7 linked regions of the Sus scrofa genome follow. The protein of the gene in region 1 interacts with the protein of each later gene in a pairwise test. Links are inferred from orthologs where the notes say so. Each region holds a gene or a part of one and is shown in the gene's direction. Other genes may lie near its edges. The genes, in order: MTUS2, PRPF31, HCK, LNX1, KIFC3, WAC and TSHZ3.

What was found.
Region 2: the proteins of MTUS2 (region 1) and PRPF31 interact in binary tests that used the Homo sapiens proteins (3 or more experiments, as listed by UniProt). The two-hybrid records come from large-scale screens. The link is inferred for Sus scrofa from reciprocal best matches to the Homo sapiens genes MTUS2 and PRPF31.
Region 3: the proteins of MTUS2 (region 1) and HCK interact in binary tests that used the Homo sapiens proteins (3 or more experiments, as listed by UniProt). The two-hybrid records come from large-scale screens. The link is inferred for Sus scrofa from reciprocal best matches to the Homo sapiens genes MTUS2 and HCK.
Region 4: the proteins of MTUS2 (region 1) and LNX1 interact in binary tests that used the Homo sapiens proteins (3 or more experiments, as listed by UniProt). The link is inferred for Sus scrofa from reciprocal best matches to the Homo sapiens genes MTUS2 and LNX1.
Region 5: the proteins of MTUS2 (region 1) and KIFC3 interact in binary tests that used the Homo sapiens proteins (3 or more experiments, as listed by UniProt). The link is inferred for Sus scrofa from reciprocal best matches to the Homo sapiens genes MTUS2 and KIFC3.
Region 6: the proteins of MTUS2 (region 1) and WAC interact in binary tests that used the Homo sapiens proteins (3 or more experiments, as listed by UniProt). The two-hybrid records come from large-scale screens. The link is inferred for Sus scrofa from reciprocal best matches to the Homo sapiens genes MTUS2 and WAC.
Region 7: the proteins of MTUS2 (region 1) and TSHZ3 interact in binary tests that used the Homo sapiens proteins (3 or more experiments, as listed by UniProt). The two-hybrid records come from large-scale screens. The link is inferred for Sus scrofa from reciprocal best matches to the Homo sapiens genes MTUS2 and TSHZ3.

What each region holds. Positions count from the first base shown.
Region 1 is NC_010453.5:6,198,797-6,203,027, forward strand, and holds part of MTUS2 (microtubule-associated tumor suppressor candidate 2), read left to right. Parts: coding exon 1-1,269; intron 1,270-4,231. UniProt on the Homo sapiens protein: Binds microtubules. Together with MAPRE1 may target the microtubule depolymerase KIF2C to the plus-end of microtubules. May regulate the dynamics of microtubules at their growing distal tip.
Region 2 is NC_010448.4:55,994,357-55,998,548, reverse strand, and holds the end of PRPF31 (U4/U6 small nuclear ribonucleoprotein Prp31), read left to right. Parts: intron 1-975; coding exon 976-1,103; intron 1,104-1,180; coding exon 1,181-1,253; intron 1,254-1,810; coding exon 1,811-1,939; intron 1,940-2,030; coding exon 2,031-2,129; intron 2,130-3,070; coding exon 3,071-3,196; 3' UTR 3,197-3,462; downstream 3,463-4,192. UniProt on the Homo sapiens protein: Involved in pre-mRNA splicing as component of the spliceosome. Required for the assembly of the U4/U5/U6 tri-snRNP complex, one of the building blocks of the spliceosome.
Region 3 is NC_010459.5:35,728,864-35,733,094, forward strand, and holds part of HCK (tyrosine-protein kinase HCK), read left to right. Parts: intron 1-1,223; coding exon 1,224-1,266; intron 1,267-1,900; coding exon 1,901-2,003; intron 2,004-2,833; coding exon 2,834-2,932; intron 2,933-4,231. UniProt on the Homo sapiens protein: Non-receptor tyrosine-protein kinase found in hematopoietic cells that transmits signals from cell surface receptors and plays an important role in the regulation of innate immune responses, including neutrophil, monocyte, macrophage and mast cell functions, phagocytosis, cell survival and proliferation, cell adhesion and migration.
Region 4 is NC_010450.4:40,262,026-40,266,256, reverse strand, and holds part of LNX1 (E3 ubiquitin-protein ligase LNX), read left to right. Parts: intron 1-17; coding exon 18-404; intron 405-4,231.
Region 5 is NC_010448.4:19,661,887-19,665,426, reverse strand, and holds part of KIFC3 (kinesin-like protein KIFC3), read left to right. Parts: intron 1-1,332; coding exon 1,333-1,463; intron 1,464-2,278; coding exon 2,279-2,402; intron 2,403-2,527; coding exon 2,528-2,657; intron 2,658-2,743; coding exon 2,744-2,973; intron 2,974-3,296; coding exon 3,297-3,431; intron 3,432-3,540. UniProt on the Homo sapiens protein: Minus-end microtubule-dependent motor protein. Involved in apically targeted transport. Required for zonula adherens maintenance.
Region 6 is NC_010452.4:40,012,421-40,016,651, forward strand, and holds part of WAC (WW domain-containing adapter protein with coiled-coil), read left to right. Parts: intron 1-2,872; coding exon 2,873-2,991; intron 2,992-4,231.
Region 7 is NC_010448.4:41,344,386-41,349,390, reverse strand, and holds the end of TSHZ3 (teashirt homolog 3), read left to right. Parts: coding exon 1-2,275; 3' UTR 2,276-3,925; downstream 3,926-5,005. UniProt on the Homo sapiens protein: Transcriptional regulator involved in developmental processes. Functions in association with APBB1, SET and HDAC factors as a transcriptional repressor, that inhibits the expression of CASP4.

The sequences.
Region 1 (4,231 bases):
CCAGGTCAGGGCAAGGCAGAGCCTACAACGGAGCCGAAGCTCGTCCAGCCCAGGCCCGGGCAGGAGCTCAGGTACGCCCAGGTGGACGGCCCGGAATGTGCTAAGGAGGATGTGGTGTCACCTCTCGGGAGAAGGGAGCCGGCTGGGGAAGCACAGCAAGAAGCCTCCGGCGCTGCGTTCAGCGGCCTGGCCCACAGCGGTCCCCACCCACTGGGCGTGGGAAGAGGCAGGAGGGAGCAGGAAAAGAGAAACGAGGAGGGGTCTCTTCAGGGCACCCCCACACAGAGCCCTGCTTCCTTGGGGGCTGCTGATCATCAGCCCATAGGTCGAATTTCCCCAAGCGCAGCCAGCAGACTGGGTGACACTGTGGCATCCAGCCGCGTTTCAGCAGGTGATGGTCACGTGGCTTTGACTCCTGATGATTCGAGGGACAGCAGGCCCTTGGATCCCAGGGCGGAGAATGGGGTCCTGGGCCCTGGGAACGAGAACAGCCCTGGAGTTTTTAATTCAGACCCTTCCACTGGAGGGAGCAAAGTTGGGGTCCCTGAGCCCCTTCCCGGCAGCACCTCAGAAGCCAGCGAAGGCACAGAGATCCCTGCGTGCCCTGTCGAGACTAGGGACCGTCTAGAAAATGCTAAGACTGAAAGCACCCCAGCGAGAACAGAACCCCTTCTCAGGGTCCCAGTGCCCCTCCACCCAGAGACAACTGTGACTGTGTCCCGCCAGCCTCCACCCCCCAGCAGCCGCGCTCAGGACCCGGGCGCCTGGAGTGTGGACGCGGGGTCCTCCCCGGCTGCCCCGCCCCCCGCCGACAGCGCGAGGTTGTCACTCGCTGCCCCGAAAGTGCCTGACAAGGGCGCCTGCCCCACCGGGATCCCCAAGCCTGTGGCCGCCTCGCAGGAGGGGCTGGAGGGCCCCCAGCCGGAGAAGCCGGAGGAGAGGGCGGACCCCAAGGCCGTGATCGTGCCCAAGCCCAAGCCCGTGAGGCCCAAGATCATCACGTACATCAGGAGGGGCCCCCAGGCCCTGGGCCAGGTGGACGCGTCGCTGGTCCCCGTGGGCCTTCCTTACGCTCCGCCCGCGTGTGCCGTGCCGCTCCCCAAAGAGGAGAAGGGGGCGGGCGGGGACCTGAAGCCGGCGGCCGGCCTCTACGAGAAGTTCAAGCCGGACTTGCAGAGGCCCCGGGTGTTCAGCTCCGGGCTGGTGGTGTCTGGGATCAAGCCCCCGGGACACCCCTTCGGTCAAATGAGTGAAAAGTTTCTGCAGGAGGTAAGAGAAGGTCGCTGTGGCCCGGTCTGTGAGTCGCACGTCCTGGCGTTCGTTATGTGTGTTCAGTGAAGGGTCAGAACAGAGTGTCCTCTTAGCAAAGTGCAGGTTGTGGCGGATGGGCGTGTGTAGAAATGGACATCTGTAACTAGAGGAGGCGGGAGGCAAATGGCCAGTTCCCATGAGAAGAGTTTGATGATCAGAAGGAGAGGAAGCTGATGGATCCGAAGAGACCCATTTAAATTCTACCCGACAGAATAAATGCAGGAGCGTTAGAGGAGCATGCATGTAAGTGGGCTTCCTCGTTTAACCATGTGAGCGTAATTCGCCCGTAAACCAGGTCAATGGAAAAAAATCCAAGATAAACATATTGTTCAGATTGGTCAGCTTTGTCCTTTAAGGATGGCAGAGACTGGAGGAAGGCTGTCCTTCTCCCAGCTGATCGGAACAGCTCTGCCCTTCACTTTCTCTAGGTCCCTTTAAGGGGGACCATGTCCCCCACGGGAGAAGTTCTTTTTTGTCCACGTCAGCAGCACAGCGACTAGAAAATAAGGTGTTAGGTGCGGGCCCTGTCTTAAGTCAGAATAGCAGTAACAGCCAGCACTCAGCTGAGTCCCTGCTATGCCTGGGGCCCACATCACACCACGTTTTGTCTTGGCTGGTCCCCCCTAATCCCAGCAGTGGTCCCCTAGACGGTGCCTGTTACGGTTGTCCAGGCGGGAAGCAGACTCAGAGAGCTTGGAGTGACTCATCCAAGGCCGCGAAGCAAGGGCGGTGCTGACAGGCCCTCCCAGGCCCTCCTGCTCTCCTCACTGTGCTCCTCCGTACCGGGCGCTGGGGCGGGGCCTCCTCCCAGAGCTCAGACAGGAGGCTTGTGCCAGGGATCAGTTAGGAGTGGGACCCGATCTCTCCTCTCCTGACCCCCTTCAGGCCGCTCTGTCCCTGGGCTGGAGCGTGTAGGGTGGCTCAGCCGCTGGGAGGCACTCAGTCTGGCTCCTGCCTCCAGACCGCCTCTCCTCCTCTCCCCTCCCCCGCTGCCTCAGGGCCTTTGCACGTCCCTCTGCTCAGGCTGTTCTTCTCCCAGATGATCTGAGTAGCTCTGCCCTTCACTTCCTGTAGGTTTCTGTTCAAATGTCGCTTTATTGGTGACTTTCCTTTGCTCCGGTGGTTCAAATAAAGTAATTAGGTACCCCCTCCACACGCACACAAAAGGTCCCTTGGATTTTTCTCTGCAAAAATACATTTGTGAGAGAAACTTTATTTGGAGACATAGGCAGAAATCCTGTTACTAGCTGCAGGCCTTTCTCTGTGGCCTTTCTTAATTTTTCTTGTATATGTTTCTTTTCTTTATTGCTTCCACTCCCTCCATGAAATATAGAATAATTTCTATGTTAGAGGCACATTTTCCCCCAAATGTTTTCTGTTCTCAGTTCTCTAGAAGCCACCCCGAGGCTCCAGGAAATGGGAGGGAATGGGTGTTTGTGTGGCTTTAGGCGCTCGGAGGGGTTGGAGAGACCCTGTTGGTGTGGGGACAGCAGTGTCACTGCGTGCCACCTGCTGTTGCTGAGGGCCATTTTCTGCCATAATCCAAGGCCCAGGCCCTTTCCTCAGGCTGCCGGGTAGAGCAGAGAAGCCCGAGCCCCTGTTAGTGGTGAGCTCATTTCTGGGGAGATGTCTAATCAAACTCGGAGAGTAGGGTGGTCTTTGGCCTTTGCTCCTAAAGCTATGACCTGATGGAACCCACAGGCTCCCCATCTGTGTTTAGCCTCAGAAGTGGCTCTGAAGATCATCCTGGGTCAGTCATGCCAGGGTGATAAAGTGGGCCTGCTTGTCCAGACTGCTGTCTGCTGTTGGCTCTCCTGAGGCCTTGGGGGCACCTCCTCCTATTGACACCTTCGGGGAGCCCTGGCATCAGGGACTGGTATAAGGAGGAGGAGGAGGAGGGCAGCAGGGCTGAGGACCAGGTGAGGCAGTGTGCTTGCAGGATACAGGTGTGCGGAGGGGTGGGGGGGGCTGGACTCCCCTCCCCTCACTGGCACCACCTCATCACTGTGGGCCGCTGTCCGCCAGCGCTCTCCAGAGAAACAGATCGTCTACACAGGCATGGGTGTGTGTACCTGGTTTTCTATCTATTGAGACTGTAAGGAATTGGGTCCCACAGTTATGGAGGCTGGCGTATCCAAAATCTGCAGGGTGGGCTGGCAGGCTGGAGACCTAGGGAAGTGTTGATGCCGCGGTTCAAGTCCAAAAGCTGTCAGTTGGCAGATTTCCCTCTTCTTTGAGGGAGGTCAGTCTTTTTCTGTTATGGCCTTTGACTGATTAGATGAGGCCCACCCACCTCAGGAGGTAATCTGCTTTATTTAAGGTCTACTGAATTCAATGTTGATCTCATCCAAAGAAAAAAAAATTACCTTCAGAGAAACATCTGGAATAATCCTTGCCCAACTCTCTGAGTTGCGTTGCCTATCAAGGTGACACCATGAGCCATCCCCAGCCCTCTCCCTGCACCTGTCCCAGTGAAGCTTCAGCATTTGCCTGGTGTCTCCCCGGCCCATGGTCCCCTGAGAACAGGACAGGGCAAACGGGAAGGGGGACAATCTAGTGAGAACTTATTAGTTCCTTGTGTGACTTGAGAGATTTTAGAAGTTTGAAATCACAAAGATGCTTTAGTTTGCTTTCAAAATTATTTCTCTAGAAAGACTCCTTTAGAGAAGGAGAGAAAAGCCCCATTTGGGTTGAATCTGTCTGCATTTGTGACTGCAGTGAATCCTGCTCTGTCCTGTCAATAGAGATGAAAGCAAAGCATGTGAAGCTTTTTGTAGACTCTCTTGTTTTATTAAAAGTGCACAGATGAGGCATCTGAGGCATACGTCTCACCTTTGTAAAGAATTTGTTATCTTACTAGAGACAAATTACCCAACAAAATGATAGACATTGAAGCTCTTGAAAACATTAAAGTTATTTT
Region 2 (4,192 bases), on another chromosome or scaffold:
GTGGGTTAAGGATCCTGGGGTGGCTGCTGTGGCTGGGGTTTGATCCCTGGCCCGGGCGAGGTGACGGTTCATAAGGACCAGAGAGTGGCTCACAGACACCTTTGGGGGTGGGGGAGGCTTGCTTGGCCTACGACATGGGGGTCCGTGCCCTCCACCAGCACTGTCACCCTTCAGTACCCATTCCAGCAACCTCGCCTCCTTGGCACACTTGTTCTGCGAGGGTAGGTGTTTCTGTCTTGTGCACCTTCGTCTCCCAGGCTCCCGGCCTGGCACAGCGTTGAGGGATCTGGTCTCGCTCTCTCTGACCCCCGGTCTGGATGCCGGGGTCCAGCAGTGCACCCGCAGACAGAAGCCCTGCCCCGCGACGTTTCCATTCCCGTTGGAGGCGGGGCAAGGAGACGCAGGCCGATCTGCTGTGTGTCCAGTGGTGCTGAGCAGAGGCTGGGGAGGTTGGACTGACTAACCACATGTCAGGGAGGGCTTCTCCAAGGAGGTGAGGGTTTAGCCTAGACCTGAGTGCCATCAGCCGGGAGTCCCGTGGAGCCTGGGGGAAGGGTGTCTCAAGCGGAGGGAACGGTCAGGCCCAGGCTCTGGGGCTGGAGCACGGTGGGCCCCGGGGAGCGGAGGCTGGCTGGACAGCGCGCTCTCGCGAGAGCCTGGCTTTGGCAAAGGCGCCGAGAGGGGGCCGACTTGGGGTCCCTCCTGCAGGAAGAGCCCGGTGGGATGCTCAGAGGTGGACGGAGGCCAGGGCATCGCCGCCTCCGGACCTGAGCAGAGCTGGCTGGAGGCTGGGGAGGGGGCGCAGCAGCTCTGCCTGGGCAGTTGCCTGTGGGCACAGCGCTGAGAGGAGAGGTCTGAGCGCAAGATGCAGCCCCAGGGGCCAGGGCCTCCAGGGCTGGCTCCAGGTGGGGGTGGCCCCTGGAGGAGGGAGGGCGCCCCGGAATAGCTGCAGGACCCCCGCCTCATCCTCCCCAGGTGGGCTACGAGCTCAAGGATGAGATCGAGCGCAAGTTCGACAAGTGGCAGGAGCCGCCGCCCGTGAAGCAGGTGAAGCCGCTGCCTGCGCCCCTGGACGGGCAGCGCAAGAAGCGAGGCGGCCGAAGGTGGGGCCCAGGGGCCGGCAGGCCAGGGTGAGGGGATGGGCTCGCCCCCTCCCAGCTGACCCCCTGCCCTTCCACAGGTACCGCAAGATGAAGGAGCGGCTGGGGCTGACCGAGATCCGCAAGCAGGCCAACCGCATGAGCTTCGGGGAGGTTGGCCCGCGAGGCCCTCAGGGCCCCCCTCCCCCCGCATCCCTTCCCCTCAGATCGGGGCCACCCCCAGTCTCTGCCCTGGTCCCCCTCCCTCCTTCCTCCTCCGCATCCCTTCCTCTCAGATCTGGGGCCACCCCTCAGTCTCTGCCCTGGTCCCCTGGCCTCCAGTCTCGTCCCACCCCATCCACCCGGCTTCACACAGATCTGCTTCTCTCTCAGCACCAGCCCCTCACCCTGGGGCTTCGCATCCACCTCCCAGGCTCATCCCTCCCCTTCCTCCTTCCCCTGCCCTGCCGTCCGTAGGGCTTCCCTGCCAGGCTCTGTCACCCACGCGTCACGCTACTGATGCTGCAAGAACCAGCTAAGATGCTATTTGGTCAGTGAGGCCTATTTTGGTTCTTGATAGACATCACACACACAGACACACACACACACACACACACACGGCCCCTCTCCCGGGTACCTGAGGAGGTGCCCAGGGGAGCAACTGCTGGGGTGAATGCCGGGCATCTAGCTGGCTGAGGAGCTGGCTGACCCCAGGATGCCCCCACCCCCAGATCGAGGAGGACGCCTATCAGGAGGACCTGGGCTTCAGCCTCGGCCACCTGGGCAAGTCAGGCAGTGGGCGGGTGCGGCAGACGCAGGTGAACGAGGCCACCAAAGCCAGGATCTCCAAGACACTGCAGGTACGGCGGGGCCCCGAGGGGTCAGGGTGGGGCAGCCGCCGGTGCTCAGGCCCTGACCCCAGCCGGCCCTGCTTTCCCTGCCCTCCCACAGCGGACCCTGCAGAAGCAGAGCGTGGTGTATGGCGGAAAGTCCACCATCCGAGACCGCTCCTCGGGGACCGCCTCCAGCGTGGCCTTCACCCCGCTCCAGGTATCGGCTCCACTCCCTTCCCCTCCTGGGCCTCAGCTTCCTTGCCTACAAAATGAGTGTGTGCTGGGGCCCAGGGCACCACGGAAGCCTCCAAAGGGTGCAGCTCCCTTGCCGACACGCAGCGAGGTCACCAGGGCCCAGTTAGTCTCTGACCTCGAGCAGGCTCAGCCCCTCCCTCAGGCCTGGGTCCTCACCTGCAGGGGACTGGGTGGTTGGGGCCACCTTGGCGCCCCACGTGAGAAGGCTCGGATCCCAGCCCAGCCGCCAGTGCACGTCCCTCACCTGTCCACACCTGAGTTTACTCGCCCAGCAGGCAGGGCCCATGTGTCCCACGGAGCATGAGCGTGAGGAGTGACAGCTCATTCACTGCTGAGAGAGTGCCTGCTAAATTCCGAGCCCTACTGCAGGCGTTCGGGTGGAGCCACAGGAGACAGGGAGTCTTGCCCTTGTGGGGCTTATGGGGCAGCAGGGGACAGATAAATAAGATGCATAGTCTGTTGGAAGCGGAGATGTTCTGGGGAGAAAAAGGAGGGAGAGGGGACCCCCAGGGAAGGCCTCTAGGAGGATCATTCAGAGCCAAGCCTGCCACGTGTGGGGTCCCGAGCCGGTGGCAAAATCCTCGGAGGGTTGGTGTGATCCGTGCTGGGAGTGCAGGCAGGCCATTTACTCTTGGGACTGTTTCCTCATTCAGGAACTGAACAGGACCGGCTTTTCTCAAACGGTGGTGTTTTTAAAATCACCTGGGGAACTTGTTAGAAATTCAGATGCCCAGGGCCCCCCCCCGCCCCTCACTGCACCCACAGAGTCAGTCTCTCGACCTGGGGACGTGGGGACTGTCCTCACGTTCGCCCAGAGCCCAAGGACCAGTGAGAAGGGGTTGGGGGGACATCGTCAGGGGCCAGGCCATCTCCCCACCCCAGCCCGTCTCCCTCACTGTCCAGGGCCTGGAGATCGTGAACCCACAGGCAGCGGAGAAGAAGGTGGCTGAGGCCAACCAGAAGTATTTCTCCAGCATGGCCGAGTTCCTCAAGGTCAAGGGCGAGAAAAGCGGCATCATGTCCACCTGAGGGGCGGCGCCCTGGGTGGTTGCCCGCTGAAGGGACACAGAGGCCCCCCCCTTTCTGAAGGGGTCAGGATGGGGCTGGGAGGTGGCGGCAGGGAGAGCCGCCAGGCCGTCGCCGGTGCTGGGATGTCAGGAGGCCCAGCCCCCAAGCACGGAGAATGCCGCCTCCCTCAGACACCAGAGCCAGGCTTCGTCACGCGTCCTTTTTAACTGGGAAAGGAGATACTCTGGGGGGAAAGTGCGATTAAAAGCACATCATCAGGACCTGTCCTTGGCTAGTGATCGTTTGTCAAACACCTGGGCCACTGAGGTGTCAGAGCTGCAAGGTTTGGGGGACAAAGCTCAGGCCCCGTGGAGTCCAGGTCACGCGATCCCAGGAAGAGAACCGCCCTCTCCACGTCCAGGCCCCGTTAGAGAACCTCGGTGGTTCTGGCACCAGAGCAGTGTGGCTGCTGAGAGCCCCAGCTTTCAACGCAGGCCCCCTGGGTGGTCGTGGCATCTTGGGCGGCTGGCCTCTGCCTTCCAGGCTTCCAGACTAACACCACCGGACGCACCCGCAAGCACTGGGGACTTGTGTATGCTGCATGGGACAGCACTTAGCACTGGGCGCACCGTCAAGGCCCTGTGATGGGGCACTGCTGTTATTTCTGTCTAGTGTTTGCCAAGGACTCCCTCTCCCACCCTAGTGTGCCAGGCCGGGGCTGGGGTGGGGCAGACAGGCTCTCTGCCCTAAAAGCAGAGTGCTGCTGGGGGCGCCTGTCTACCTGTGCTGGAATCTGGGTTTCCCAGTGGGCTCTTACCTTGGAGGTTGGCACTTCTCTTTCTCTTTTTTTTTTTGGTTGCATCTATGGCACGTGGAAGTTCCTGGGCCTGGGATCGAACCTGTGCCATGAGCCACAGCAGTGAGAACACCAGATCCTTCACCCGTTGCGCCACCAGGGAACTCCCAGGACTTCTTTTAGTTGCCCAGGAGGTGGGCGCACAGGGCAGAACCAGCCCT
Region 3 (4,231 bases), on another chromosome or scaffold:
GGAATCTTTGTAATGGGCTTCGTGAATCTCTCCCCAAAAGACATAATTCTCAGGGTTTCCTAACCCTGTTTCTTTAAGTTAATGTTTACCTATGTGTGTGACACATAAATTCATTTTCCTTGAAAATAAAAATCACAAGTTACAGCTAAAGCGATGGTTTCTGCTGACCAAGAACTACCACACCCCACCCCAGAGGCAGAGGCTCTTGTCAGTTTGGTGTGGACCCTTGCAAACCTTTTTTCATGAATTTCCATTCCAGGGTGTTCAGTATGTGTCCAGATGAGTGAAGGATGTTTTATGTCCATGTGTCCTGTTTAGAATTCTGAAGAACTAGCTTTGTTCACTAACGATATATCTCTGGTTCCCTGGTGGCTCAGGGGGTTAAGGATCCAGCGCTGTCATTGCTGTAGCTCGGGTCACAGCTGTGGCGTGGGTTCAATTCCTGGCCGGGGAACTTCCACGTGCCACATGCACAGCCGAAAATAAAAAGTAAAATAATACATCTTTGAGGTCTAATTGTGCCAGGAACGAAGCAGCATCCTCTTATTAGGGCTGCCTGAGCACCGCAGCACAGGCGCCATCTCCCCTTTGGATGGATACTTAGGTTGTTTAATATACACAGTGGAGCCTTTATTTGGGGCCATGTCGGTAGACCAAGGGCTTCTTCAAACATGCCTTGGAAAGCACTGATTTAGACCAACCCCCTCACTGTATGTTGAGTGGAAGGAACAAGTCAGTGTCCTGCAGTATGTCCAAGGCTAAAGGCAGAGCCCACAAGCTGAGAGACCTGCATCTGTTTTTTTTTTTTGTTTGGTTTTTTTGTTTGTTTGTTTTTTGTTTTTTGGTTTTTTTTTGCTTTTTAAGGCCCCAACTGAGGCATATAGAGGTTTCCAGGCTAGGGGTGCAATTGGAGCTGCAGCTGCCAGCCTACACCACAGCCACAGCAACACCAGATCCTTAACCCACTGAGCAAGGCCAGGGATTGAACCTGAAACCTCGTGGTTGTTAGTTGGATTTGCTTCCGCTGCGCCACAATGGGAACTCCCAGACCTTCATTGTTATGCTGGCTGTGCACCTAATATGCTGTGTTACTTCGGGCACTTCCACAGCCCTCTCTGGGCCTCCTCCCACAACACACAGGGCTGGGATATCCTTTGGACATGGACCTTCATGGCTCCATACACACTATTGGATTCAACCCCCTGTCCCATTTCTCCCCACAGTGGCCAGACAGCAGCCAAAGCAACCCACCCGAGGCCACAGAGGGTAAGTATCTGGCAAACAGGTGCAGTGGTCTTGTAGTATGAAGAGAATTAGGTTAGGTTCTCAGTCAGAGCTTGGGGCAAAAATCCCAACCACCCTTGAAAATCCCCTAAACTGCCCCCAAAGTACTTTTATAGGCTATTGTGTTTCTATAACGCTGTTTCGTAACGTGAACAAAATCCCATTAGCTTTTTCTTTCTTTTTTTTTTTTTTTTTTTCCTTTTTACAGCTGCACCTGTGGCATACAGAAGTTCCCAGGCCAGGGGTCAAATGTGAGCTACAGCTGCAGCCTACCCCATAGCCATAGCAACACTGGATCCAAGCTGCATCTGTGACCTATGCTGTAGCTTACAGCAAAACCAGATCCTTAGCCCACTGAGTGAGGCCAGGGGTCAGACCTGCATCCTCACAGAGACATCATCAGGTCCTTGACCTGAGCCACAATGGGAACTCAAAAACTTCGCTAGCTTTAAACTCTAGAATCACACCCAGCACACCAAGATGCTTACTTATATATACCGTGAGACAGACACATGAGGGGGTATAGGGCTGGGTACCAGGTGTTGGGGTGGGAAACACCCAGGGCTGTGGGAATGCTCACGTAAAGCCTTACCATCCTATGTGTCTCTCTTCCCAGCAGGTTCTGAGGACATCATTGTGGTTGCCCTGTATGACTACGAGGCCATTCACCATGAAGACCTCAGTTTCCAGAAGGGGGATCAGATGGTGGTCCTGGAGGAGTGAGTCCTCATTCCACTCCCTGCCCCAAGACATACCCATCTCTAACACTCAATTCTGCTCTCTTTTGTGCTTCAGTTAAAAACTTGATAGACTACATTATACTAGAGTGTAAATGACTAATGAGAACCTATTACCAATAAAGGAAGAAGGGTTTCCTGCTAAGCTGGGTTAAAGCCACAATAAAGGGGCTTGTGCACTTGCCAATGTCACACATCCAGGCAAGAATGGACAGCTGAAAAGGCTTTCTCGGGGAAGCCTTCCTCAGGCACCTGTGACTAAACTGTAGACTTACCTATGGACCAGACGTTGTTGAGGTGACTTTGCATTCAGAAATCCATGGATCGCTGAGTTGATGACCTCCAACCTCCTGCAGTGTTCACCAGCCGTGGCTGTAGTGTCCAGTATATATTGGGGCCCAAGGATGGGAGTGGTTATGCTTGGTCAGATTCCTGAGCCCACTCCCTCTGGCTCTTGGCCCCAATGGGCTACTGCGAATCTGCCATGAGCACAGGGCCCCATCTCACATATGGAGAATTAGGCAAAAGACACAAGTCCAGAGAATAAAGGTGAGGCTAGAGCTGTGGGCTATGAATGTGGGGACAGGGCTTGATTCCAGCCCTAGATGGACCCAGGGATTCAGAGTGGGGGCTGTTGTGAGGACACTTACCTTAATCATGGGGTGCAGACTGGGGGCTGGGACTCTAGTGACCCCGCCCCTCATCCCACCAGCTTTCTGGGGTTGGGGGGATTCTAGGCCAAGGCTGGGGGCCCAAGAGGACCAGGGGTGGTTCTCCTGCCCCCTGACCCCTTTGTTGCCCCTGTCCCCCAGGTCTGGGGAGTGGTGGAGAGCTCGATCCCTCGCCACCCGGAACGAGGGCTACATCCCAAGCAACTATGTTGCCCGCGTCAACTCTCTGGAGACAGAGGAGTAAGTATTCTATTTCCCTGCCCACCAGAAGGAAGCATGGGCAGAGTCAGCTTTGTTCCTACCTTGGGGCTTTTGCAGTCACTGTCTCTCCTGCCTGGCATACTCTTCCTAGGCTTTTTGCTGGCTGGCTCCTTCTCATCCTTCAGGTCTCAGAGAGGCCTTCCTGGGCCACCCTGTCTCAAGCAGGTCCCCTCTGTGACTCTCTCTCTCATGGAAACTGGTTTTATTCCCTTTTGAACACTTCTCATGAGCAAAAACGATCTTATTTCTTTGGCTGTTCACAGGTTCACTGTCTGGCTCCCCCACGAGAAGGGGAGCGCACGAGAGCAGGGACCTTGCCTGTCTGCTGCATCCCCTGCACAGGCTGGCATGCAGTCAGTGCTCAATGAATGTTTGTTGGATAAAGTATACAGTTGCTTTAGAGAGGGTCCTCTGAGAGCCAAGCCAGCTCACTCCAGGGCGTCATCTCTCATGTGACTCATTCAGCAAACATGTGCCTGTGCCGCACCTAGCTTTGTGCCAGGCTGGGGGCTGCAGAACAAATGAGACACCCCCAGCCCTCAAGGAGAGCCCAATAACCCTTCATTCTTGGCTGCAGTTTCTTTGTGTCTAACTTGACTCTGAAAACATAGAATTATACTTCATTTGTCCATCCATCTGTCCATCCACCCGGTCATCCCACAGACACTTGCTGGGGACCTCCCGTACCCCCAGCCCTATTCCAGGGGTACTAGGTGACTCAGGGAGGGCTCCTCCCTGGAGATGTTCACAGTTTGGGGTGAGACCGACAAATAAAAAGATGGCTCTACTCTAAGGTGGCAAGAGACCCAGTTCAGAATCAGCCAAACAGTTGAAAACTGACCCCATGTTTTTTTCTCCTTTGCTTCCTCCCTCTAGCTAGATGGTACTGTGGGTTTGGGATGCTGGCCTGTTAAAAATTAAAACGTTTGGGCTTTTCCCATCTTAAAGTCACCCCTTTCTTAGTGTGCATGAAACCTCTCTGTCCTGTGGAATCTCCCCTCTGTGGCCACAGTGAAGCCCCCACGGCCATCGCTGACCCTTCTGTCCTGGACCTCCCCCAGCACAGCCCCTACAAGCCACAGGGGGTCTCAGCCATTTCTGTCTCCCTCTAGGCTTTCTCTGGGGCATCCGTGCCCTGCTCCCGCTCTGGGTGAGGTACAGTGCAGGATTTTGTAAGTGTTCAAAGCCGCAAGCCGGGGAGCTTTTAATATCAAAAGAATGGCTGTTTTCCCCCCAAAAGAAGCTTTGCGCAAAACAGATACCAGGTCTTTGGGATCC
Region 4 (4,231 bases), on another chromosome or scaffold:
TCACTCCAGATTCTGAGGGCCCCTTCCGGCAGGTCAATGGGATGGACATCAGCAACGTGCGTCACAGCTACGCCCTGCGCCTCCTGCGGCAGCCGTGCCATGTGCTGCGCCTGACAGTGCTGCGGGAGCAGAAGTTCCGGAGTAGGAATGACACGCCGCCCCTGGACACCTACGGGCCCCGGGATGACAGTTTCCATGTGATCCTCAACAAAAGCAGCCCCGACGAGCAGCTTGGCATAAAACTGGTGCGCAGGGTGGATGAGCCTGGGGTGTTCATTTTCAACGTGCTGGATGGTGGTGTAGCGGACCGCCACGGTCAGCTGGAGGAGAACGATCGGGTATTGGCCATCAATGGACATGATCTTCGGTACGGCAGCCCGGAAAGCGCCGCGCATCTGATTCAGGTGGGTTCCTCGGGGTTCCAAAGTCCCGGTGGGAAACTGCCAGCATGAGCAGGAATGCTCATCACCCTGCCCCATCTACCTGGTTACTGCCCCATGTGACATAGGGTGACTCCCTTTCAAGGAGTCAAGGGTGAAGGGTCAGGTAAGAACATTACTCCAGCAAATGGGTCTCTCAGGGTCATGGCCATTATTACATTGGTGTTGCCAGACATCCAGTCTGACTGCAGGTAAATACACTGGGCTCTGTGTTGCAAGCTCACCAGGTTAAGATCACTCAAGGCTGGCCGGGTTGTGTCATCCTTGTACCCAGTATGGTAGTCGCAGACCCAGGGGTCACTCAGACACATTCTGGACACATCCAAGGCATCTAGTTGTACTAATTCCCATAAGAAGCTGTGTGGTGGCACCCTCCAGGCATCTTGTGGACTAAGGTTGGCCAAGCCTGAGCCTCATCTTCATGGCTAAGCCCAGACCCCTTGGAAAGCCCAAGGGAACTCAAATATGAAGCTAGAGAAGCCCGCCATAAAAGAGGCATTACAAATGATTATTACTCAGGCAAGTTCACAATAACCTGAACTTGGTTCAAATTAATTCACTCTCCTGATGGATGTGATTGCTACCAAGTGCCAGCATGCATCTTGTTGACTCTGACTGGGTCACCATGAGGTTGTCTAACATTCACTGAGCTGCCAGTTTTATCCCTAGAGGGACAGGCTTTGTCCTGGACTCTTATATTCTGTTCCATTTATCCACTTCATTTAGCCAAAATGTATTCTGTTTTTGCTGCTTGCCTAGCCCTGGGTTAAGTGCAGAGAACAGAGGGGTGATAACCTCTTAGGCTGCTCTCCCAAAGGAGCCCACCATCTAGTAGAAGAGGTGACTTTTTCTAAATAACTGCTGTGTGGCGTGATGATGCGTGATGGAGAAATTAAGTATAGCGCTGGTGCAGACAAAGGAGAGATTTTTTTTTTCCTTGGGTGGGGGTCTAAAAATCATTCACAGAGGAGAAAAATCTTCAACAGGGATGTTGAGAGGTCAGAAGTTCTCTAGGTGGATAATGTGGAGAGGGTCATTCTAAGGAGATACAACACAGAAAAATATTTCCCCAAAATTCCAGTTGGGCTACATTTTATTTTATTATTGAAATATAGTTGATTTACAATGTGTTAATTTGTGCAGTATAGCAATGTGATTCATTCATTTATATATATGTGTGATTCATATACTCTTTTCTGTTATGGTTTATCTCAGGATGTTGAATATAGTTCCCTGTGCTATATACTAGGACCTTGTTGTTTTCCAGTCTATATATATAATATTTTGCATCTGCTGATCCCAAATTCCCAATCCATCTTTCCCCACCCCACCCCCCTTGGCAACCATAAGTGTGTTCTCTTTTTTTTTTTAACTTTATTTTATTTTTCATAATGATTTTTAATTTTTTCCATTATAGCTGATTTACAGTTTATGTCAATTTTTCTTTTTTGGTCTTTTTTTTTTTTTTTGGTCTTTTTAGGACTGCACCTGCAGCATATGGAGGTTCCCAAGCTAAGAGTCTAACCAGAGCCACCACAGCCACAGCCACAGGATCTGAGCCGTGTCTTCGACCTATACCACAGCTCACAGCAACACTGGATGCTTAACCCACTGAGCAAGGCCAGGAATCAAACCCGCAACTGCATGGTTCCTAGTCAGATTCGTTTCCGCTGCTCCACCACAGGAACTCCTGTCAATTTTCTACTGAACAGCGAGGTGATCCCGTCACACATACATTGTATATTTTTTTCTCAGATCATCATGCTCCATCATAAGTGACCAGACATAGTTCCCAGTGCCATACAGCAGCACGAGTCTGTTCACTATGAGTCTGTTTCTGTTTCATAGATAAGTTCATTTGTGTCATATGTTAGATGCCACCTGTAAGTGATATTATATGGTATTTGTCTTTCTCTGTCTAATTTACTTCACTTAGTAAGAGAATCTCTAGGTCCATCCATGTTCCTGCAAATGGCACCATTGTCTTTAGAAGTGGCAATAGATAAGGCAGGAGTGGTAGGAGACGCCCACATCATGTGGAGTTTTATAAGCCAGGCTAAGGAGCTCAGACTTTATCCCCAAGGCCATGAGGTATTATTGGAAGTGTTTGAAAGAAAGTGACATGATTTTCTAGAAAGATCTCTCTAGAGGCAGTGGAGAGCTGATAGGAGAGGGGTAAGGTTAGAGGCCTTGTCTTAAGATGCGTTCGCACTTATCCGGCACATCATGTCAGCTTCTACTTAGTGATGAAAGTATTAATATTTCAAGTATAGACCAAGCGTCAGTAGCAGTGGTTGACTGGACTTTGTACCAAGTTCAGTGAAGGATGTTAGAAGACAGAGGCTGCCATCAAGGACTTGATGAGCTAAGTACAAAAATATCTCTCTACACTTGGGTCCCAGTCATGATGTTCTTCCAGGTATTGGCAACTCTTTTCACCATCGTGTGTAGTATCTTTTTTTATTTTTATTTTTTGCTTTTTATTTGTTTTTTTAGGGCCTCACCCATGGCATATGGAGGTTCTCAGGCTAGGGGTCTAATCAGAGTTATAGCTGCCGACCAACACCACAGGCACAGCAAGGCCAGATCCGAGCCACATCTTTGACCTACACCACAGCTCACGGCAGTGCTGGATCCTTAGCCCACTGAGCAAGGCCAGGGATTGAACCTGCAACCTCATGGTTCCTAGTCGGATTCGTTTCCGCTGCGCCGCAATGGAAACTCCTGTGTGTAGTGTCTTATCTGTCTTTTTTTGAGGGGAACCAAGTAGCGAATGAAAGTACTGTTATTTTAGATGTGGGAAGCCTGAGACAGAGGGTGCAAAAGGACTTACCTTGCTGCTTCCACCTGCCAGGATGGGAAGCACACATGGTGCTTTGGCCCCTGAGCTGAGGCTTTTGATGGTATCTCAGTTCCAAGGTGATTCTCAACCTGATGAACATCCATCTGCCTTATGAGGCCTGAGGTCATGCCTTGTGGAGCAGGTGAAGAACAGAACCAGAGTTAGAAGAGGCATTTCCTTTCTGGAGTTTATGCCATCTATTTCCAAGTTCACATGCGCGGGCCCAGCTTCTCTGATTGCCACACTTATATATCCAACTGCTCACTTGGTATCCCCATGCAGATGTCTAAAAGGCATCTCAGATTTAATGTCCAAAAGTGAACCCTTGGCTTCTCCCCACTCCATCCCTTGGCAGATCTGCTCTTCCCTCAGTCTTTCCCCATCTCTGGAAATGGCACCATTACTTGGACCAAAAAGAGTCTTCAACTCGCTTCCACATCCCCTCCCTGACTTCCATCAGCTTTGGTCTGGGCCACAGCAAGAGCCTCTTAACTGGACTCCCTGCTTCCACACTCGATCCCCACTCTGCTCGCCACACAGCAATGTCAGTCCCACCATCTCACCTTCTTGCTCTCAGCCCTCCAAGTCTTCCCAAGACACTCAGGTTACAATTCCAAGTCCTTGGAGTTCCCGACTTGTCTCAGTGGTAATGAACTTGACTAGGATCCACGAGGACACAGGTTCCATCCCTGGCCTTGCTCCGTGGGTAAGGAGGGTAAGGATCCAGCATTGCCGTGAGCTGCAGTGTAGGTTGCAGATGCGGCTCGGATCCACAGTGGCTGTGGCTGTGACATAGGCCAGTGGCTACAGCTCGGATTGGACTCCTAGCCTAGGAATTTCCATATGCCGTGGGTGTGGCCCTCAAAAAACCAAAAAAAAAAAAAATCCCAAGTCCTTACAGGGCCTGCCAAGCAATGCTAATCTGGTCTTTGGTTCTCCTTCCAACCTC
Region 5 (3,540 bases), on another chromosome or scaffold:
CCTTCTTTTCCCTCAATTCTGGGATTGATGAGACTGGTTAGCGAGGGGCAGGCCAAGCCAGATTGGGGGTGGGGTGCAGCTCCTAGGTTCCCGCTCTGTCTTGGGTGCTTAGAGTTTTTGGGTTTTTGGGGGTTTTTTGTTTTTTGTTGTTTTTTTTCTTTTTATGGCCACACCTGTGGCATATGGAGGTTCCCAGGCTAGGGGTCGAATTGGAGCTGTTGCTGCTGGCCACAGCCACAGCCATGCCAGATCTGAGCCATGTCTGTGACCTACACCACAGCTCCCAGCAATGCTGGATCCTTGACCCACTGAGCAAGGCCAGGGATCAAACCTGCATCCTCGGGAATACCAGCTGGATTTGTTTGAGCTGAGCCGCAGTGGGAACTCCTTGGGTGCTTAGAGCTGAGGTAACCACCAGGAGCATCCATCCTCCCAGCCCTCCCTGCTGAGGCAGATGTGCATCAGGCACCGTGCCTGGAGCCGGGGCACAGTGGTGACCACAGAGTGCCTGCCCCCCACAGAGCCATCCTGCCAGTGGGAGCCAGCAGTGCACATAGCAAAGCAAGGGGTGTGCTGTCAGGTGCCAGGGAGAAAAATTGATCCAGGTATGAGGAACCAACAGTGAGGGAGGGATCAGACCTTCAGGGGGAGGAGAAGCCTCCTAAGCCAGTCCCAGGAGTGCGGAGAAGAGCACTCCAGGCCTAGGGAACAGCAGGCTGGAGGGTACTTGGAGATACTGAGGCCTGGCAAGGAGGCCCCAGTGGCAGAAGTGGAAGTGGGGGCTGGGGAGGGTGGGAGGTTCAGGGAAGGACTCCAGATTTCTTTTCTGAAAGGCCAGCCAGGCCATCCGGCCTCAGGTCACTTGCCCACTCTGCCTGTGCCTCCGCTGCACCACCCACAGAGTCTAGCTCATGGCCTCCCTGACCTTGAGCCCCTCCCCCACCCCCAAGGCAGTGGCAGGAACATCATACATTGCCAATGCCTCCTCCCGGGTGACACCAGGGCCAGGTACACATCAGCAGCCCCTGTGTGCAGGCCCAGGCCAGGAGCTTCCCCCAGGGCTCTGCTTTAAGTCTCAGGTCCAATCCTGGCAGGTGGGGCCATTTCAAAGGTGTGGAAACTGAGACCCAAGGAGATAAAGTTGCTTGTAGCTGGTGGAGGCCGTTTTGGGGGGCAGATCTGCATGCAGATGGGAGCCTCGGTCAGGGAGGCTGGCCTGTGAGGGGTAGCCAGAGCAGGTGGGGGCCCCGCCCACCACGTGAGCATCTGTATGGGGCAGCCCTCGTGGTGGGGAAGAGGCCTGGCTCACTGGGGCCTTGATTCCACCCCCAGGGGACCCCTGAGAACCCAGGCATCAACCAGCGGGCCCTGCAGCTGCTCTTCGCCGAGGTGCAGGAGAAGGCGTCCGACTGGGAGTACACCATCACCGTCAGCGCGGCCGAGATCTACAACGAGGTCCTCAGGTGAGGGGCCCTCGGGCGGGGCCCTTAGCAGGAGCGCAGGCCCTCCCGGGCAGCTTTTGGTCCTCAGGGCTGCGAGGAGGTATGTGGGCTGCGAGGTGGGGGCTCCCTGAAGAAGAGAGTCTGGAGCTGCCTGTCGTGACTCTGCCCCAGGGACCAGGTTCTGAGCACCTCGCAGGCAGGAGGGAGGAGGGCTCTGAGGCCCCCTGGCACTCTCAGACCCAGGCACTCCTTTTCCCCTCCGATTGTCCGCACCCTACCTGTGGGCTGTACCAGGTGGTGGGTGTCAAGTGCGAGTGGGGGAATTCCTCTCGTGGTGCAGCAGAAACAAATCTGACTAGGAACCATGAGGTTTCAGGTTCAGTCCCTGGCCTGGCTCAGTGGGTCAAGGATCCAGAGTTGCCATGAGCTGTGGTGTAGGTTGCAGACACGGCTGGGATCCTGCCTGGCTGTGGCTGTGGCGTAGCCCAGCAGATGCAGCTCCAATTCGATCAGACCCCTCGCCTGGGAACCTCCATATGCCCTAAAAAAAAAAAAAAAAGTGTGAGTGGAACCTTGGGGAGACCTGCCCCCCCCCAGGGGCTCAGTGCATTGTGGGGGCAGGAGTAGCACCACCAAAAGACTTTGGGGGAACATCCTGTCATCTCTCTGCCTTTCAGTGGACTGAGTGCCCGGGGGAGGGGGGGGCCTTAGCCCAAGGAACGTCTAGGAAAGCTTTGCATAGTGTGATGGTTGGAGAACATTCCAGGCTGGGGGTGGGGGCAGTGCCGGCAGAAGGCAGACTGGAAAGAGGGAGTGACCATCCTTCGTGCCCTCAGGGACCTGCTGGGGCAGGAGCCCCAGGAGAAATTGGAGATCCGGCTGTGCCCCAACGGCAGCGGGCAGCTGTACGTGCCAGGGCTGACGGAGTTCCAGGTGCAGAGCGTGGAGGACATCAACAAGGTGAGTTTCCGCGCCGCTGTCCCCAGGACAGGCTGGGGGCGGGATGCAGGCTGAGGGTGACGCCCCCTCGCCTGGGTACCTGACGACCACCCCTGGGCCTCTTGCCCGCTTCGCCCTCGGCCCAGGTGTTTGAGTTCGGCCACACTAACCGCACCACGGAGTTCACCAACCTGAACGAGCACAGCTCGCGCTCGCACGCCCTGCTCATCGTGACGGTGCGTGGCGTGGACTGCAGCACCGGCCTCCGGACCACCGGTGAGTGAGGGCCGCGGCCGCCCGGCCCGAGCACCCCCGCCTCTCGTCCTGGGGCGGCTGTAACCTGCCCGGTGCCCTCCCCGCAGGGAAGCTGAACCTGGTGGACCTGGCCGGCTCAGAGCGCGTGGGCAAGTCGGGGGCGGAGGGCAGCCGCCTGCGGGAGGCGCAGCACATCAACAAGTCGCTGTCGGCCCTGGGGGACGTCATTGCTGCTCTGCGCTCCCGCCAGGGCCACGTGCCCTTTCGCAACTCCAAGCTCACCTACCTGCTGCAGGACTCGCTCAGCGGGGACAGCAAGACCCTCATGGTGGTGCAGGTGAGGGCCTCAGGTGGCCACCTGCGTGTTAGGGGTTCCACTGGCTCCAAGAGCAGGGCCCCACCCCCTTCCCCTGTGGCCTGTAACTGCCACGGGCGGAGGGAAGGGCCCCTTGTCAGCAGCAGCTCCCTAGTCTGTGACATGTGCCCCTCCCCCCGTGCTTGTACACACCACCCTCGGTTGCCCTTCCGGCTCCCCTCCCTCTCAGTTTTCTCTGGGGAACCTTCTAGAGCCCCTTGCTTGTGAGCTCCCTTTGGTACCCCTTCCAGTTCTGTGAGGGCAGCCGGCTGGCAGGGTGGGGAGTGAGCTCTTGTGTCCCCTAGGTGTCCCCTGTGGAGAAGAACACCAGTGAGACGCTCTACTCCCTCAAGTTTGCTGAGAGGGTGCGCTCCGTGGAGCTGGGCCCCGGGTCCCGCAGGGCAGAGCTCGGGTCTTGGTCCAGCCAGGAGCATCTAGAGGTACGGGGACCATCGCAGGCCTGCTTCTGGCCGCCAGCGGGTCAGACTTCCTGCTCGCTCGTGGGCAGGAGGGAGGGCAGGGAGGGGAGGTCAGCCTGGAGTTAAGAGG
Region 6 (4,231 bases), on another chromosome or scaffold:
GCCTTCCGTTAAATTTGATTTTGTAGTGGAGTCAGAATTTGAGATTTAACATCTTTCTGAATATGGAACCCACTTTACTAAGCTCTACTGCCTATGTGTGTGTTCAAGCAAATTTCTTACATAGATGGCTCCTCAGAGAGTTAGGAGACTGCTGTCTCTATTCTTATTAGACTGTAAATAGGACCTTAGGATACTCTTGTCAGATTTTGTATTACATTCTTTGAGTCTTGTTCACAGATTTATAAGCGGTCCCCAGTCATAACTCACTCTTGCTTTATAGCATACCACTAGTAGAACTTGAAGTTGGTGTATATACAAGTTGTAAATTTTTTTTTTCAGTCTTACGGATAACTCTAGGAGGAAATTTTTTTTTTTTTTTTTTTTTTTTTTGGTCTTTTGTCTTTTTCTAAGGCTGCTCCTGTGGCATTTGGAGGTTCCCAGGCTAGGGGTCAAATCCGAGCTGTAGCCGCTGGCCTACGCCAGAGCCACAGCAACGAGGGATCCGAGCTGCGTCTGCTACCTACGCCACAGTCACGGCAACGCCGGATCTCTAACCCACTGAGCAAGGCCAGGGACTGAACCTGCAACCTCATGGTTCCTAGTCAGATTGGTTAACCACTGCACCACGACGGGAACAGTGTTGTAGTTTAGTTGTAAAACAATGGGCTGTTTCAATCTTTTGTGCCAAAGAATTCTATTCAAATAAAATCTTTAGCAGAATCCTAAAGATAAAAATGTATTGAAATGTAGCTTGAAATTGATAGTAGGCCATCTCTGTGGTATTCCCATTGGCTCATCACTTCCCTGCTTCAACCACTTATTTATGCAAGTTTTAGGTTCAGTCTAGATTGATTTTTATTATTAGTACTTTTTAATGATTATTTCCCCAATACAATTTTTTTTTCTACTGTACAGCATGGTAACCCAGTTACACATACATGTATACATTCTATTTTTGCACATTATCATGCTCCATCATAAGTGACTAGACATAGTTCCCAGTGCTACACAGCAGGATCTCATTGCTTATCCATTCCAAAGGCATCAGTTTGTATCTATTAACCCCAAGCTCTCCAACCACCCCACTCCCTCCCCCTCCTCCTTGGTAACCACAAGTCTATTCTGCAAGTCTATGATTTTCTTTTCTGTGAAAAGGTTCATTTGTGCCTTTTATTAGATACCAAATAGAAGTGATATCATATGGTATTTGTCTTTCTCTTTGACTTACTTCACTTGGGATGAGAGTCTCTAGTTCCATCCATGTTGCTGCAAATGGCATTATTTTCTTCTTATTAAGGGCTGAGTAGAATTCCATTGTTTATCTATACCACATCTTCCTAATCCAGTCATCTATCGATGGACATTTTGGTTGTTTCCATGTCTTGGCTATTGTGAATAGAGCAGCAGTGAACATGGGGTGCATGTGTCTTTTTCAAGGAAATTTTTGTCCAGATATATGCCCAAGAGTGGGATTGCTGGGTCATAGGATGGTAGTTCTATATATATATTTCTAAGGTACCTCCATACTGATCTCCATAGTGGTTGTACCAGCTTTTATTCCCACCAACAGTGCCGGAGGGTTCCCTTTTCTCCACACCCCCTCCAGCATTTGTTTGTTATTTGTGGCCTTATTAATGATGGCCATTCTGACTGGTGTGAGGTGGTATCTCATGGTAGTTTTGATTTGCATTTCTCTAATAATCAGTAATGTTGAGCATTTTTTCATGTGCTTGTTGGCCGTCAGTACATCTTCCTTGGAAAAATGTTCGGGTCTTTTGCCCGTTTTCCATTTGGGTTGTTGGCTTAGATTGATTTTTAAAATTTTGAGTTAAAATTGTTTGTATGAAGTTTTTTATTGTTTGCCTGTAATTTGATTGGAGGAGAATTAAAATGTGAATTTTAGCAAGAGACCTTATTCTTAGAGTTTACAACTTATCTTTGGGTCTATCTTAGAGTACAGTGAATGATGACTAAGAAGTGAGATATAAGTGGCAGTGTTAGGTTTACAGTTGGTTATAAAATTGTTTCAAATCCCTTAAGCAGATGGCTATTTTTGCATTTCAAACCTTTCAAGTTGTTTCTAAAAATAAGTGAACATTCGCCCTTATAAAAATGTTCTTTATAAAAGAATATGCTCTTTTCAGAAGTAGCAGTGCTGTCCACATTTGTTTAGGAGAATATTAATTATTGGCGTATGGAAGTTCCTACGCTAGGGGTCGAATCTGAGGTACAGTTGCCGGCATAGGCATAGTCACAGCAATGTGGGGTCCGAGCCGAATCTGTGACTTACCACCACAGGTCACGGCAACACTGGATATCTGACCCACTGAGCAAGGCCAGGGATCGAACGAACCTGCATCCTCATGGATACTAGTCGGATTCGTTCCGCTGTATCACAACAGGAACTCCATAATGTATTTATTTTTATTGATAACAGAAGCAACAGTAGATATGAAGAGGTATTATAGTGTACTGGAAGTAACACTGAACTCAAATCAAGAGAACTAGTTTCTTATGCTGGTTTGCTAATCAAGTAATTTTATGGCCCTGAAATGTTTTATAAAGAATTAGACCCAAGTCTCAAAACTCTTTTTTTTTTTTCTAACTACATGACCTTTGGAGATTCCTTTGACTCTGCTTCTTTAAATCTCTAGATTTTATGGTGTTTTAAGATTTGGGTGTACTTGGCCCCTAAAAGATACTATGGCTGAATCGCTAATGTTAATCTTATTATGAATCAGGTCAACTCCGGTTATCTTAAAAATCTCTGGATAGAGATAAAGTTTGATTGGTAGAACTTTTGCCTGTATCTAGTTTTCATGCTTTTTGCCTATGTGGTAGAATGCTGTCTAATCAGATTTTGACATTTTAGGTTAGTACTCCAGTAGTTAAGCAAGGACCAGTTTCACAATCAGCCACGCAGCAGCCTGTAACTGCTGACAAACAGCAAGGTCATGAACCTGTTTCCCCTCGAAGTCTTCAGCGCTCAAAGTAAGTTGATGTGTGTTGAGACGACATTGTTTTTTCCTTAATACATTATATTGCCATATTGTTGAGATATTATAAATGTATGTATAGTAGAACCTGGTCTTGGAAGAATCCATGGATAGCCTTAGTTCTATGTATTATAAAATTTACAAAGGCAGATATCTTACTGCAATAACTAGATTGTCTGTAGTAGTGAAGCCTGGGTTTTAAAGAAGTGACTTTGTTTAGAATTTTCCTTGGTGGAATATGATCTGAGCAGTATGTGATTACTTATACAAAGAGTGCACATGATTTTAAAATACTTATTAACTCACTGAAATATCGTTTTTAACTTCCTTGTAGCTGTTTTACGTTTGAGTATATTAATGAAGACAAAAATCTCACATCTAAAACTTGGGTCAGTGTTTTCCATCTGTTGTGAATGTCTGTCTGCCTGTCTCTCCTTATAGCGTCAATTCTGACCCTTTGTGTGTTGCTTGTCAGACCTGTATTGTATTGTCGCTCTCCTTTGTTGAGTAACAGAACTTTAAATAATTTTCATATTGTCCTATTTTTATCTCTTGCCACAAGGTGGTAAAATAATTCAACTGTTGTTTTTATTGTTGTTTTCTAAATAAGCATTTCAGAACATTGACGTCCAAATGAGGGTTGTTCCCTTGAAAATTATCACTTTGGGAAACTGTCTACTTCAGCAATGTTGCCATTGCTCAGAATATTTTTTTGGGAAGTTCTTCTTTTAAATTATCTTTAGAGGCTGCAGTATTATTTTAAATATCCTCAGTGATGAAAAGACTTCATTGTTTGGGAGACTTAGTTTTTCTGAATAACTGAAATTGATTCAGAGCCAAGTCTGGTGTGAAGCAGGTAGGAAATGAGCTTAGTGATTAAATTTTTGGTTCTCACCATCGAGTCCTTAAACCACAGCCCAAACCATACAGTTGTAGAAGATAACCAGTCTTAGAGTGTTGCTTTTTTGGTCTTACTTTGCTACTAAACTCATTCATTGTTATGCAATGGAATGTCTGTATTTTGTTTCACATTATTTCACCCTCTGATTCAACAGTTTATTCTGATATTAAACAGTAAAACGCATTGTATTTTTTCCTCTCCATGTTGTCATGCATTTAAGATATCATAAATATGCTTTATTTCTATGACTTTTGAAATGTGACCACTTCTTAGTTCCGTTAGTGTATTTGCAGCACACAGCGTTGATTCTGCTGTCAAATGTGGGAGAGCATTG
Region 7 (5,005 bases), on another chromosome or scaffold:
GTCGCTGGAGCTGGAGCTGCCCAGCTCCCCGGACTCCACCGGCGGCACCCCCAAAGCTGCCCTGGCCGACACGAACGACGTGCTTCAGAAGAACTCCAACCCGTACATCACGCCAAATAACCGCTACGGCCACCAGAACGGGGCCAGCTACGCCTGGCACTTCGAGGCCCGCAAGTCCCAGATCCTCAAGTGCATGGAGTGCGGCAGCTCGCACGACACGCTGCAGGAGCTCACGGCCCACATGATGGTGACTGGCCACTTCATCAAGGTCACCAACTCGGCCATGAAGAAGGGGAAGCCCATCATGGAGACGCCCGTGACGCCCAGCATCACCACCCTGCTGGACGAGAAGGTCCAGTCCGTGCCCCTGGCTGCCACCACCTTCACGTCCCCCTCCAACACGCCCGCCAGCACCTCCCCGAAACTCACCGCCGAGGTCAAGAAGGAGGCGGACAAGGAGAAGGGGGTCGCCGAGGAGAAGCCCAAGGAGAAGGAGAAGGCCTGCGAGGAGGAGGAGAAATATGACATCTCCTCCAAGTACCACTATTTGACGGAGAATGACTTGGAAGAGAGTCCCAAGGGGGGACTCGACATCCTCAAGTCCCTGGAGAACACAGTGACGTCGGCAATCAACAAGGCCCAGAACGGCACCCCCAGCTGGGGGGGCTACCCCAGCATCCACGCCGCCTACCAGCTCCCCAACATGATGAAGCTGTCTCTGGGCTCCGCGGGGAAGAGCGGGCCCCTGAAGCCCATGTATGGCAACAGCGACATCGTGTCCCCCAGCAAGAGCCAGACCCTGGTCTCTCCACCCAGCAGCCAGACCTCCCCCATGCCCAAGACCAACTTCCATGCCATGGAGGAGCTGGTGAAAAAAGTCACCGAGAAAGTTGCCAAAGTCGAGGAGAAAATGAAGGAGCCCGAGGGCAAGCTGTCCCCGCCCAAGCGGGCCACCCCGTCCCCGTGCAGCAGCGACGTCAGCGAGCCCATCAAGATGGAGGCGTCTAGCGACGGGGGCTTCAAGAGCCAGGAGGACAGCCCCAGCCCCCAGCGGGAGGGCTGCAAGGACGGGAGCCCCCCTGCAGAGCCGCTGGAGAATGGCAAGGACCTGGCGAAGCCCATGAGCAGCAGCTTGAGCAGCAGCACGGCCATCATCACCGACCACCCGCCCGAACAGCCCTTCGTCAACCCTCTGAGTGCCCTCCAGTCGGTCATGAACATCCACCTGGGCAAGGCCGCCAAGCCCTCCCTGCCCGCCCTGGACCCCATGAGCATGCTGTTCAAGATGAGCAACAGCCTGGCCGAGAAGGCGGCCGTGGCCACCCCGCCGCCCCTGCAGTCCAAGAAGGCGGACCACCTGGACCGCTATTTCTACCACGTCAACAACGACCAGCCCATTGACTTGACGAAAGGCAAGAGTGACAAAGGCGGCTCTTTGGGCTCCGTGCTTTTGTCACCCACGTCCACATCCCCGGCCACCTCCTCCTCCACAGCGACCACGGCAAAGACCTCTGCCGTCGTCTCGTTCATGTCAAGCTCGCCGCTCCGCGAGAACGCCCTGTCCGATATATCGGACATGCTGAAGAACTTGACCGAGAGCCACGCGTCCAAGTCCTCCACCCCTTCCAGCATCTCCGAGAAGTCGGACATGGATGGCGCCACCCTGGAGGAGGCCGAGGAGGCGACGCCTGCGCAGAAGAGGAAGGGCCGCCAGTCTAACTGGAACCCCCAGCACCTGCTGATCCTCCAGGCCCAGTTCGCCGCCAGCCTCCGGCAGACCTCGGAGGGCAAGTACGTCATGTCGGACCTGAGCCCCCAGGAGCGCATGCACATCTCCCGGTTCACCGGGCTCTCCATGACCACCATCAGCCACTGGCTGGCCAACGTCAAGTACCAGCTGCGAAGGACAGGTGGAACAAAGTTCCTCAAAAACTTGGACACCGGCCACCCCGTGTTCTTTTGCAATGACTGCGCGTCACAAATCAGGACTCCCTCCACCTACATCAGCCACCTCGAGTCCCACCTGGGCTTCCGGCTACGGGATTTGTCCAAACTGTCCACTGAACAGATTCACAATCAGATAGCACAAACCAAGTCACCGTCGGAAAAACTGGGGACGTCCTCCCCGGAGGAGGACCTGGGGACCTCCTACCAGTGCAAACTCTGCAATCGGACCTTTGCGAGCAAGCATGCGGTTAAACTTCACCTCAGCAAAACACACGGGAAGTCCCCCGAGGATCACCTCCTGTACGTTTCCGAGCTAGAGAAGCAGTAGCGTTGGCTTTGGATTCAGACGACTGTGATTTGCTTGGAGGCAAACGGTTGCAGGCACCTTCAGGCCCCTCTGTCTTGTTCTTGGCACATGTTCTCCCTTTAACTGCAGAGAATCACACTCTGGGCTGGACTGTTTTTTGTATAACTGTACAGTGTTTAATAGAGGTGCATAATCAGCTGTTGTTACTGGTAAAATATGAAGGTTAAAACGCAGTGGTAAGTGTTTGGAACTTTGTGTCAATGGGATTTAGTTGTGAGCATCGCCCGATGCTTCAAGCTGCATGCATTAACAGACAGTTTAATTAAGCATTTACGACGAAATCGGGCACACTTTTCCACACGGCTTGAGTGTGCCGGCATTTTTTTCACCCTTTCATCTTTAGCCCTCTGAGTACTTTGAAGCACTTTTGCATTCATTTGGTTAAAAAAAAATAAAATAAAATAATAATAATGTATGAAGCTCTGTTTTTTAAACTCCTTACCAGCTTAGTTATAATTAATAATATGAACCTCCATTTATGCAGGTCTGCAGGGGTATAACACGCCTTGAAATTTAAAAGAATATTATTTTCACATTGAAACATAGATGTATATATTGTATAGATTTCAGACTCTCTTATGAAAAATGTGATTGTGGTTAAATGACCTTTTTTTCCTGCATTTATAGCAACAGTGTTTTATGTACCTGCTATGCTCTGGGCAGAAGCCGTGCCTATGTATAGTGTATATTTCTTTTTCTTTTTTTTTTTTTTTAAGGTCTATGGGTTTTGTTTTTTTTTACATGCAAACATTGTAAATTATACAGAAGATACCACAGATAGCATTTATAAAGTATACAGAAACATTATCTGAAAGCAAAGTATGATTGTTTGTTTTGCTATACAGTACATTTATATTGATAGAGGTTCATGTTTAAATTATACATATTTATTAGCATCATATTATCATTTGTTTTGAGCAGTCTGAATAAATGAGGCCAGGAAATACATCCATGGCAGGCATCATAACTATTTTGCACATGATGATTTTTAAAGGTATTTATTAGAAATCAAAAAAAAAAAAAACAAAAACCAAACCCGCTCAAAATAAACTCAGTGCTCAAAGGGTTAAGTCTATTTGAAACGGAAAAAACAAAAAAAAGAAAAAAAAAGAGAGAGAGAGAGAGAGAACTTGTACTGTATTTCCTAAACATTGATAAAGCCTTTAAAATGTTTGTACTGTAATACTTTGCTTAAAAGTCACGAGGCATTCTGTGACACAACCTCTTTTACTTATTTATAAGCCCTCTTGGTTGCTACTCCATATTGTAGGATGCCTTTTTATTTCAATTGGTAACTTTCTGTTTTGTTCTTCCTAATTATTCTCCCAAGATCCCACACTGCAGCTTTATCTTTAGGCTTATGAAAGGTAACCCGTGGTTACCGGCTCTCCAAGTGATTCTGTTCTTCTCCATTTTTGGCAGTTAATTTGCAGAAGTAACTGACAGCTGACACCATATGAAAACCTATGTATAAAATATTGGCATGTAAACAGCACAGACACTGTCACACACTCTGTGCCCTGTTTTGTTGTTGACAATGAACCACCATTATGTGACTCTTCATATAACCCTCTTTTCTACGGCAGCATTAAAATTGTCTTTTTGCTATAATTTTGTGTTGCGTTCACAATTATGTCTGCAATGTGCTACGACTAACGAGCACATTAAAATTAAATTGTATGCGATCTGTTTATGACTGAGTTGGTTGCTGTGTCTGCCAGGTGCTGGCAGTCGGAAGCGGCCCGTAAATCAGGGGAGTTTAGTGAACTTTGGGTTTGGAGAGCAGCGAGCACTCCCTCGGAGGCGGTGTGGACAGCATTTCCCCCAAGAATAAAAACAGAAGAGAAAGGAAGACGCTCCCCCGAGGTTAGATTCCCACTGGCACGGCGATGATATCCGATATGGCGAGTGGAGCTTCGGTCCCACTGGGTGACCCGGGAGGGGACCCCGGAGCTGGGTCTCCCATCTGGATGAGAGAAGCCGACGTCGGGGCCCTGAGCCCTGCCCGAGGCAGATGGGCGGGGAGGGGGGAATTAAAAAAAAAAAAAAAAGGTTTTGGGAAGACTCGGCACAGGGCGGGTGATTCCATCCTGTTGATTGGGGATTTTCAAGGAGCAAAAACTGCAGCCCAGCCAGGCAGGTGAATGCTAGGGTCATTCTCTCTCTTGTGCTCAAGCACGAGGGGCGGAGGGCTGGGTGGGTGGGGGGGGTGAACCCATCCACGGGAGGAGTGGGGAGAGCATTTATATGATAATCACAAGCTTTTATTAGCCCCGGCAAATCATGCCAACAAAACCCCGGGAACATCATGTAACGTTGTAAAATACCTTTATTACTATATTGCAGTCTACTCCTGCAGTTACGCGGAATCGTAGCTCCTAACCTAGAATTATACAAATGAGAGATGTATTACATCCGTGTAATATATAAAACACCTCCACGTGAAAAAAAATACTCTTTTATTAAAAATTTAAATTAAGCCCTTTCAGAGATGTTCGGCAACACGCCTACGTGTCGTCCCCCGCCCCCCCCCGTGGGTCCCCACCCCTTTTTGTCAAGATGAGGCCAAAATTTCTGTCTGCTCTACTTTCTCGCGGCAATGGCAATGCATCTCTCTCTCTGGGTTTCGAGCGAGAACCTCACTAGTGTTTAAAACGGGTTTTTGGCAGGTGGGGACTGCCGTGCTGGCTT